Linked DNA regions of Nothobranchius furzeri. The protein of the gene in region 2 binds, or shares a complex with, the protein of the main gene of each other region. Links are inferred from orthologs where the notes say so. Each region holds a gene or a part of one and is shown on either strand. Other genes may lie near its edges.

The links. Proteins that work in one complex are often made in the same cells at the same time.
Region 1: snrpe (region 2) and dhx16 share a complex: the UniProt entries of both Homo sapiens proteins name them as parts of the minor spliceosome. The link is inferred for Nothobranchius furzeri from reciprocal best matches to the Homo sapiens genes SNRPE and DHX16.
Region 3: snrpe (region 2) and gpkow share a complex: the UniProt entries of both Homo sapiens proteins name them as parts of the minor spliceosome. The link is inferred for Nothobranchius furzeri from reciprocal best matches to the Homo sapiens genes SNRPE and GPKOW.

What each region holds. Positions count from the first base shown.
Region 1 is NC_091745.1:60,410,685-60,414,335, forward strand, and holds part of dhx16 (pre-mRNA-splicing factor ATP-dependent RNA helicase DHX16), read left to right. Parts: intron 1-2,159; coding exon 2,160-2,370; intron 2,371-2,445; coding exon 2,446-2,544; intron 2,545-2,756; coding exon 2,757-2,909; intron 2,910-3,651. UniProt on the Homo sapiens protein: Required for pre-mRNA splicing as a component of the spliceosome. Contributes to pre-mRNA splicing after spliceosome formation and prior to the first transesterification reaction.
Region 2 is NC_091743.1:2,209,495-2,213,245, reverse strand, and holds the start of snrpe (small nuclear ribonucleoprotein E), read right to left. Parts: upstream 2,584-3,751; 5' UTR 2,444-2,583; coding exon 2,390-2,443; intron 588-2,389; coding exon 561-587; intron 484-560; coding exon 421-483; intron 1-420. UniProt on the Homo sapiens protein: Plays a role in pre-mRNA splicing as a core component of the spliceosomal U1, U2, U4 and U5 small nuclear ribonucleoproteins (snRNPs), the building blocks of the spliceosome.
Region 3 is NC_091755.1:41,965,337-41,968,680, forward strand, and holds the end of gpkow (G-patch domain and KOW motifs-containing protein), read right to left. Parts: intron 3,137-3,344; coding exon 2,932-3,136; intron 2,854-2,931; coding exon 2,721-2,853; intron 2,496-2,720; coding exon 2,342-2,495; intron 2,259-2,341; coding exon 2,138-2,258; intron 1,992-2,137; coding exon 1,922-1,991; intron 887-1,921; coding exon 801-886; intron 733-800; coding exon 610-732; 3' UTR 517-609; downstream 1-516. Other genes in the region: pqbp1 (polyglutamine-binding protein 1), read left to right, coding at 144-294. UniProt on the Homo sapiens protein: RNA-binding protein involved in pre-mRNA splicing. As a component of the minor spliceosome, involved in the splicing of U12-type introns in pre-mRNAs.

The sequences.
Region 1 (3,651 bases), on a different chromosome or scaffold from region 2:
ATTCTGAACAAGCTGCAGTTGCTTCACAGCTTTTTTGGGAAGACCAGTTAGGAGACCATTGCAATAGTCCAGCCGACTAGAAATAAAAGCATGAATAAGTTTCTCTAAGTCTGGTCTGGACATGAGACCTCTTGGTAGTTGATGAAGGTGATAAAACGCTGATTTAGGCAAAGACTGAACCGGTTAGTCCCACACAATTTGCGAGCCTGTCGAGGAGTACGTTGTGGTTCACTGTGTCAAAGGCTGCACTGAGGTCGAGCATCATCAGGACAGATGCTTTACCTGTGTCAGTGTTGAGACGAATGTAATTTAATACCTTGATCAGTGCAGTCTCAGTACTGTGGTGCTGTCTAAAACCTGACTGAAAACCATCCATAATATTACTTGACTCCAGAAAATTTTTTAGTTGGATCATTGCTCCTTTTACATAATTTTCCCGATCAGAGGGAGATTAGACATCAGTCGGTAGTTGCTCATCACTGAGGGATCTAGTTTCCTCTTCTTTAGAAGGGGTTTAACAGCAGCAGTTTTCAGTGGTTTAAGAAAAATTCTTGACATTAAAGAGCAGTTAACAAGAGGTTAATGAATCCCAGTCTTCAAGTCCCATCATCATCAATCTGGTCTGAATTTTCAGCTCAAACAGGAGAAGTGAACAAAGGTTCGTTTCTCAGATCGTCTCATGACAACTTCAGGTTTTTACTCTGATTACAAGCTGAAGCTAACAAAACAGCCGCCTCAGCATAAATTAGCCTCCAGCCCAAGTTTAGATTAGACATGGACCGATACCGCTGCCTGCATCAGGTCGGATGTCATCTTTTCTCTTCTGAAAAACGCCCCTGTCAGGTGCAGCAGAGCAGCGATCTCATCCAGGTGGAGGTAGGTCAAAGGGTGAAGTACCAGGTTGCTGACTGAAGATTTAATGATCAGAGATTAAACCAGATGTCAAGTCCAGATGTATTTATAAAGCACATTTAAATGGCAGCATCCGTTGCCCCAAAGTGCTGCACATAGGCAGTAAAAGTAAAGCATTAAAATTAAAAAGAGCCAACAGAAACATTAGAAGAGAATAAAATCACAGACTTTTAAGACAAAATACATTAAAAAAAAAGAATAAAACCGATCACATATAAAAAGAGTAAGAAAAGCCTGTGGCCTGTTGATTAGCACTGAAATGCCAAAGCATACTAATGTGTTTTCAAACATACTTTAAAAGAGGCGGTGGTATCAGCTGTCCTAACCCCTAGGGGCAAGCTGTTCCACAGGCCAGCAGCCATCACAGGTAAGGCTCTAGCACCCCTGGTTTTTAACCATTATCTGCAGATGGAGGTCAGCTGATCTCAGCGTCCTAGATGGGACATATGGCTGAATAAGTCCGCAGAGATATGGGAGAGCCAACCCTTGTAGACATTTAAAAACCAACAGCATTATCTTAAAATCACTCCCAGACTTAACAGGAAGCCAGTGAAGACCAGCCATAATAGGAGTGATGTGATCATACTTTCTTGTCCCTGTAAGAAGGCGAGCTGCTGCGTTCTCAACATAATGTGAATAAAGTTGCAAATAAATGATAAATGACCCGCACTTGTATAGCGCCTCTCAGAGTATGGACTCCAAAGCGCTTTACACTACAGTGTATCATTCATCCATTCACACACTGATGGTGATGAGCTATGATGTAGCCACAGCTGCCCTGGGGCGCACTGACAGAGGCGAGGCTGCCGAGCGCAGGCGCCACCGGTCCCTCCGACCACCATCAGCAGGCAAGGTGGGTTAAGTGTCTTGCCCAAGGACACAACAGCAGAATTCTCTGTCCGGAGCCGGGATCGAACCTGCAACCTTCCGATTACTGGACAACCCGCTCAACCTGTTGAGCTACTGCTGCCCCAATAGGTCAGGAAGAACATAGACCTTAATCCTACTAAGTAACCTCAGTTGGAAAAAGCTGCCAAGGTGAGAACTGAGTCAAAAACAACCCCAAGTTCCTAACTGAGACGACAGTAGGAGGAAAGATCTCCACGGCTGCTTTTTGACGGTGATCTCAGTCCTCTGGGTCAGTCTGGGAAAGTGTGTCAAACCATGCCTGCTCATCTTTAAGAACGAACACGAGCAAATGCTATGTTCAACGGGACAAATTCTAATCCTGGACTCTGTCCCCACAGCGTGGTCATCATAGACGAGGCCCACGAGCGGACACTCCACACGGATATCCTGTTTGGGCTGATTAAAGACATCGCCCGGTTCCGACCAGACCTGAAGGTTCTGGTGGCGAGCGCCACTCTGGACACAGAACGTTTCTCCTGCTTCTTTGATGATGCTCCAGTTTTCCGGATCCCTGGAAGAAGGTTTCCTGTGGATATCTTCTACACTAAGGTGAGTTTTCTCCAGCTGTGAAGAGCGAAGGACGAAGACGTTGATGATGAGACGTTTGTGTGTTTGGCTGTGAAGGCTCCTGAGGCCGACTACCTGGACGCCTGTGTGGTATCGGTCCTGCAGATCCACGTCACTCAGCCGCCTGGAGACATCCTGGTTTTCCTCACAGGACAGGTACAGTTACCCCGAGCAGGAGAGCTCCTGATCCAGATTCTCTGATTTATTAAAAAAACAGCAGAGACACAAGTGAGAAACTAACTTTAGAGCAGATCAGAGGCTAGAGACAGGACTAGGTGCTTGATGTTCTGATCTTTTGTTAGAGCGACCCTAAGGAGATGACCCAAAGCAGATGAATAAAGGTGTTTTTGTGTCTCTGCCTCCTGCAGGAGGAGATCGAAGCGTGCTGCGAGATGCTGCAGGAGAGGTGCCGGCGGCTCGGCTCTAAGATCGCCGAGCTGCTTGTGCTCCCCATCTACGCCAACCTGCCCTCCGACATGCAGGCCAAAATCTTCACTCCCACTCCTCCCGGAGCGCGTAAGGTGAGTCCGGCCCCTGGAAGCCGGTATTGTTTGCTAACAATGTGGCGGCGGAGAGAGAAAATCCCTGGAGCTCTAAGGTTTCTTCCGGGCTGCCGCTGAAGAAGTGTAACCAGAAATTCCTTTGAAAAACAGCCGGCTGCGTTCAGAATCTGATATTAATGTTTTCAATTGGTGTCTGACTTACTGACAGAAGAACCGCCCCGGTTCTGGTAAGCCGCTTCTCCGGTAAGGTCCTGTAGATCCTGTAAATCAGTGCTCCTTCCTCCCTGTAACAGGAAGTCTGGAAGGCTTCTGGACCAAACATTCTGAAAAGAAGCAACTTTGTTTTTGGTTTCTTAAATCCAAGTTTATTGAAAATTTAAAGAAAAACATGATTGTGTCTAAATAATACGACCCAGTCCCATACCTGACCCGTGGGACTGTCCATACCATGACAACAACACAGGGATTAGCCCAGAGTTGTTGATAAGGAAAGTCGGGATCCAGGAAACGTTCCCACATCCCATAAATCTTCTCACCCTAGAGGTGCTCGCTGATTAGCGGGTCGTTGGAGACTCAAACGAGGTTGTTGTTGTTCTAATGGAGCCAAAGAACAACCAGAGGCTTTGTCGGGATGTTTAGGGACTGAGGACAAGGTCTGATGATCCACCTGAGACCTGGACATATCTTCTCCACCAGCACCAAACCCTTGAAACCCTTTAGCTTTTTTTATATTCAGACACTCAGAAGTAGAAATATAATC
Region 2 (3,751 bases):
TGTCAACTTTTTTACCGGGGTTTACCGCTACACCGGTTACCGTGACAACCCTAGCCCTGACACACTTTCATATTCTCATGGTGCAGCTGTGTTCTCCAGAGATCAAGGACTAGGACCCAAATGAGGCTGTAATGCAGCAAAAACGTAAAAGAACCTGCTGAACTTTTCCCGCAGGACAAGTGTAAAGTTTTCATCCTACAACGAACAATACGGCACGGAGGAAGTTCAATATTTAATATGAGTTTTAGAGAAACTCTGGGCCGTGTGAGGTGAGTTTTTAAAGTTAAAAAAATCCTTTCACAGGCCCTGAAAACACTCTGAAAAACAGCCCATCCACGTGGGTATCCAGCAGCAGATAACCTATCAGGCATCCCTGTTGCATATGGAGGTAAGGAAGAATGAAACAAAGCCATTACTTACGATTATGCAGCCCTCTATCCTCATGTTGACCTGCTCATACAGCCACACCTGGATCCGTGAGCGCTGGGGACAGGCAGGGAACAACTTAGAGGTTCTTCATCTAAATAAAACCATTTCAAACTAAAGGGATAGCAACTTACATTTTGAAGGTATCTGAAGATAAGGTTCTGAAGGTAGAGTCAAGGAAAACCAACGCTCAGCAGTAACAGTACACGCACGTCTGTAGCCTACATTTGTACTCAGTTGTAGTGTTACCTTTATTCATTGCCATTAAAAGTAACTTATTACATTTTAAAGTAACAGAGTTACACTCAGCAGCTGCCAACATAAAAATCAGTACATAGGATTTGGTAACCATGTCCTGAAAATAAATGACAGCGGGGCTGGGACTGATGGTCGGACATCTCGGGCCGTGCCTTCATTCAGGTTTCACTTACAGGTTCCACTCCAAACAATCTCAATGTAACCGACCCGGCACAGAGGAGTTCTGCTCGTGTTCGGGCCAATGCCACTGACCGACTCTACTTTAGTTAGACCCAAACAAACATGTTTACACTTATTGTTATTATAAACCACAAAGGCTGAGGAAGACGAGGCTGAAGTTGGCTTCAGATCCGGGAAACCGCTAAAGGGCAATTACGCCCAATTTTTCTCTGACCATCTTTAATCTGCTCTGGCTGGAAAACTACAACACCTGCACTCTTCAAACCTGAACTGGATTATTCTAGACTAATAGCAGATTGCAAAAAACATCATTTGTGATTTGTAAAACCTTTTTCTGATTTGTGAAACTTCAAGAAACCAGATTTTAGCACGTTTTCTGCATCTAGACCACACTGAACAGCCATAGTTTCAAAACAACAATACCTAGACATTTCAAACCTGTACTGGATTATTCTGCACTGGTAGCAGAACAATTAAAATCAACTCTGATATTTGTGAAAGCTTTACTTAAAAGGCCATTTAATACCTTTTTGTGGTCCCTGGTTTCACAGCTCTGTTTCAAATATGACAGATGTTTAATTCAGGCTTTAAAAGTACTTTTCAGTAGAGGAGCCCTTAAGGAGCTCATGTATCTAACAAGGTATACTTAAGATTCATTATCGCGTGTGCACTAGGGGCACTTCGTTAGAAGGATTCAGCTAAACAGCTCACTCTAAATTCTAATAATCTGATAGCTGCTGACTGTATATCTTGTAGAAATTAAATATTAAAATCCAAATTGGTAATGCGACCCGTGTTTCACCCGATAATAAAATGTTAAACATGAGAAATGACCAGAGCCTAACTGTTTACAAAGCCCATTAAGATCAGGATTAAACTGATCAGCTATTAAGTGCTGCAGATAAACAGACTTTAACTTTTCATGTAAAATACCAAAAATAAAATTAAAACTCAGAACTTCACCGTCCAACTTCAATGTTTAGTTCATCCAATTCACATGTGATGAATCATGGACTATTTAAACTATGTTCGAGTAACCTGCCATTAGTCTAGGATATTGCAGTACAGGGCTGAAGAGCGCAGGTGGTGTCGTTTTCGAGCTAGAGCAGATTAAAGGTGGTCAGAGTAGAGAATAATTTGCCCTTTAGCCATTTCCCGAAGAGGTCGGAGGGCAGCTGTACAATGGCGTCCTCAGAACCTTTTCGATTACAACTGCAAAGTCCTACAAAGTACTCTGGATAACCGATGCTTCAGGAGATCAGAAGCTCCCATCACCTCCAGCGGTACAGCTAACCGGAGCCATTAGCATTAGCGGCGCTAGTTTTGCTGCTAAGTTCGCCTCGGGGCCGTTTCTTTTTCTCCGACATGATGCGGAACACGTGCATCATCTCATTAATTTTCATAAACACCAGAATCACACAGTTGGAACGGAATCCGCGCGTTCGTTCAGCGAACTGGGCCACCGGTTAGCCAGGCTGCTAAACACCTAGCTCCACTCACGCGTTCTCCATCATACAAAGGATACGATGGGCTGCACCATGACCTTCTGCACCTTCTGTCCTTGTCCTCTGTACGCCATCTCTCCAGCAAAACACCAACGAAATGTGTTCGGTAAACAAAAACTGCACCTTCTGGACCAAATGCACCTTAACGTTTGACCCGCGTTGAGAGCTAGCTACAATGGCAGGTTTCCGCGCGAGCAGGATCTTTAACCGGTCTGATTAACCGATTTTTAACAAACAGCAACGGAACAGCGCCTCCGCAGGACGGAGGACTCTACTGCAGCAGCCTGTTCGTTTTAGCACACCCTCAGGTGCCAGACATCAGAGCATGGAGGGAAAAAAGCAGGTTTCATTCAAACCCCATCAGACTTCTGACTTCATACCGTACCAATTTATTTATTTCATTTAAAAGCAGCATGGGAGCTGACCAAATGCGCATAACAATACAGTAACAATAAAACTCATAAAAACACCAATAAATCAGCCAATAAAAGCAGATAAAAACTACAATCAAACACACAATAAAAGAGAACTTTAAAAAGTCACAATCTGAAAGCCAAATCATAGAAGAGCGTCTTCAGCCGTGTCTTGGATGATGACTGATGGATAGTGAGTGACAAAGGCTCGCTTCCTCTTCGGGAGTAGCAGGCAGTGAGCAGGCCGCACTGCATCAAAGGTCTCAGAAAAAAGGTCTTGTAGCCTGACTAAACTTTTCCTGAGCTCCTTTTGTCTGCCAGACTTTTTTCTGAGACCTTTAGATCTGATTACGTAGTCAGAAGTCTGATGGGTTTGGGTTTTTTCTCTGTGGTCTGGATGGCTTTTGTGTCCCCAGAGGTGTTGTTCCAGGATTAGATCCGATCACGTGATTGGCTTGTTGAGTTGAGCTCATACCTCCTGGGGGTCAAAACAAAGTTGTATGCGTATATTTTGTAGTGTGTCGTCAGTCTGGGGCTTTTGGCCTCTAGATGGGGCTGTGTCACTTTCCAGATTTTACAGTCCATTTGTAAATATGAGACTTGGTTAATAGATGGACAAAAACAGAGTTAATTCCTCATCTTGATGTGTATAAAGCCCCTCTTTTCCCAGGAAGAAGGCCTTTAAATCCTGAATCTGACCATTGCTGGACAAAGCCGTTCCCCGTGATATTTATAGGTGGTTTTATAAAAAACGGGGTCTGCCATTTCTCTGTTGTGCACAGTAAACCTGTAACATGATGAGCCGAGTCAAGGAACACAGCCTTGAGTAGTTCACAATAGTATTAATAACATGCAACACAGGCTTGTCCCTGCCTCACAGAGGAGAAAGTGGGTTGATAATTAGCAGCCGAGGACAGACAAGTCTCTGCGAGTGGGGGGGAAGGCAAGGACCCTTGGTGGTGCAGGCCA
Region 3 (3,344 bases), on a different chromosome or scaffold from region 2:
TGAGTCACTCTGGACAAACGCGTCTGCTGAATACACGAAACGGTCAAGTTAACCAGCTGAAACGGCTCTAGCGCTAGCTAAACAACCAGGCGTTAGCAAACAAGCTGGCCCACTCTAAAGGTCTGCTGAACTGTTTTCCACAGGGGCTCTTGGTCGAGTGGTCTTCCCAAACGCAACGAGGCCAAAACCGGTGCAGACACCACAGCCGCCGGCCCGCTGTTCCAGCAGCGGCCGTACCCGAGTCCAGGCGCGGTGCTGCGGGCCAACGCTGCCAACCAACCGCCCAAGGAATGAGAAGCGCTCCCACGGAGACGCTCTGCGTCCTGCGCACACCTCTTGTTGTTAGACGTGATGTCGCATGCTGACATTTTAGAGATCAAACTTGTTGTAAATATGTTTTATAATAAAATGGATTTCATGTTGTTACTAGAACCACCAGTTAACATAATCAGTTCTTACTCTGGTGAGAAAAGCATCTGCTGGGGCTCGTCGTAACTGTAAGAACGCCTGCACAAACACTTTTCCAAGGTTTTATTAAAAATTCCAAAGTGTTAAAATACTGTCCATCATTAGAAAAGCAACACTTAAGACGAGGCGAAGGACCAGGCTTCAGTGGTCTCCTACGTAGTGACAAATGCAGTCGTAATCCAGCGTGAACAGCTCCTCCTCGCATCTGTCCAGCTGGACCGTGGCTCTGCACTTGTTCTTGTCCCGCTGAAGAATCCGGCCCACCTGATCAAGCCAGAGAAGCTGGTCAGCGACGGTTATGATTACACAACCAGTAAGGATCATCTGCTCACCTGGCCCCTGTTCTCCCCCAGCACAACCATCACAGAGTCGTACTCGCCTTTAGGGACGATGGTTTCCAGCATGTCCTGCTTCACATCTGGCACAGTTAAAACGGTTACCATGGCAGCAGCCAGGAGATAATTACATGAACACTAATTACCTGCACAATGACATCTTATGCTTCTCTGCAAGGCACCGATTAGTCTCCCACTAAAAGTCCCAGCATCCCTGCAGGAATGCATGTCACCCTAAAGGGTTAGAGCCGTTCTAGTCAAATCCTAAAAACACGCGAGACCTCGACTCATCAGTGCACGTGGTGTCAGCCGCTGCCACGTCGACTTTACTCCAAACACCCCTCATCTCCACAAGTCTAAAACGGAAAACAAGTCCCGTCTCCTAGAGCCAGCCGTCTGTAGACACATTACTTGTCCGTGTGTGTGTGTAATCTGTCTTCTCCATCCCCAGTGTGTCGTGGAGGATGGCTGCTTATACTGAGCCAGGATTCTCTGGAGGTTTCTTCCTGTTAAAAGGGAGTTTTCCTCTCCACTGTCGCTTTATGCTTGCTTAGTATGAGGATTGCATCAAGTCACTGACACTAGTCAGTGACTCGATGCAATTTGCTGGGTTCCTTATATAGGAAACATTATTTCTGATTGGCTTAATGAACTGACCTGAATTGGAATTTTTATTAAGTGAAGTGCCTTGAGACGACTCTTGTCGTGATTTGGCGCTTTATAAATAAAGTTGAATTGAATTGAACTGTAGGTAAACCAGCGATGTTTGTGGGTCAGACGCTGGAACCTGCTGCAGATAACGAGGGTAAAGGCATCATAAAGACCTGCAGCCGTATTTCCTGTGATCTACATAAAAGATTGGTCAAGTGGAATAAATAAATGGATGCTCCTTGTTGTAAAAGGGGCGATAATAAAGCCTACTGCGTCCCACTTAGCTTCTCCGTGCCGACTCATGTCGCTCCCACGAGCCTTTTCCTCCTGACTGCATCCATTTGGACTTTATTAGTAAAATCTATGCCTTGATCTTTTAAACTGGACCGGTCTTTAAACGGAGACCCAAAACCATTAGGGACCATCATTCGTCACCCCCCCCCCCCCCATAATGCATTGTGACTCACCATCTAACACCCTTCCCTCTTCAGTTCGACAAACGCAGGTAAACGGCGTCAGGACGTCCTCCACTCGCATCTGAGGGAGAGAATCTGGGAATGATGCTGCTCCTGACAGTTTATCCGTGTGATTACTTCAAAGTGGAACCATAAAAGTACCCATAATAACAGAAAGCTCCATAGAAGGGCTTCTTTAAACTCAAGGTTCTGTCTGGGCCCTGGTACCTTTGAGTTGTAGTATCTGCCCCCCTTGAAAGCTTTGTCTATGAAGCGGACTTTGATGTCTCTCTGGAGCCAGGAGGGGGGCGCTGCAGGTTTCTTTGCTTCTTTTACTGGAGGCTTGTCTCTGAAGAGGATAAAGCACAGCATTTATTTTAATCTGAACAACGGCGGCGGAATGATGTGATTCCAGTTGAAACGGAGGCGTACCCGTCCTCTCTGTGCTTCCTCTTCCTCTCGTCTTTCCCTCCATCTCTTTCAGATGATTTATGTTTAGCTTTGTCGCTGCTGCCGATGCTTTTCTCCTCCCGACCCCGTCGTTCTCGCTCCTTTTCCTTGTCTTTGTGTGCTTTACTGAGCCGACCTGTTTGGGGGAGAAGCGGCGACATTAATATGACGGACGGACGTCAACAATGTAGCGTGGATTCTGACTGAGGCGGTACTTTCAGATTACTGTAAACACAAGGTGGGTCCTAATCTGTTTAGGTGCTTTACTGTCTGGGCCGTCGCTTTGACGGTAAATTCAGGAGAAAGATGGCAGCTTTCTCATCGACTGTGCCAGTTTTTGAATAAAAAGCACAATTCTCACTGAGGTCTTTGCTGTACTTGTCATATTCTTTCCTCCCCACTAGTCTGACGCCGTACTGGCTGACCGTCACCGCCTTGCCGCCGATAGCAAGCTTCACCACCACCCGAGCGTTGTCTGCATCCACACCTTCGATCTGCCACACAGGAATTAAGTTTGAGAAAGGTTGTTAAAGATAAACCTTGGTGAACAGGTGAGAGAGGAGAAGCTCTACCTTCCCATAAAGATCCCTATGTGCCCCCGACTCCACCAGCACACAGCCCCCAGGACCCATCAGCAGCTCCTCCTCCTTCCCCCGCTCCTCGCCGGGCTTTGGGGGACGCTGATGTCTGCTGGGCTCCAGATCCTTTATCGCTGAGCGATCTGCTCCCAGGCCGAGGCCCTTTGGACGGAGCTGGTGTTCGATTGGCTTCACGTCTCTGGTGGAGAGGCAGCAACAGCATTGAATCAATACGGAGAAGGATGTGAACAGGAGCTGGAGGTAGGCACGGCTCCAGGCTGGTGGGAGGGATTCAAGCAGAACCGTAACAAAGAAAACATATTAAGAGTCTCGATATCAACCGAGATGAAATTTGGGACAGAAGAAAGCTGAAGCTTCACATAAAGTACCGTATTTTCTGGAATATA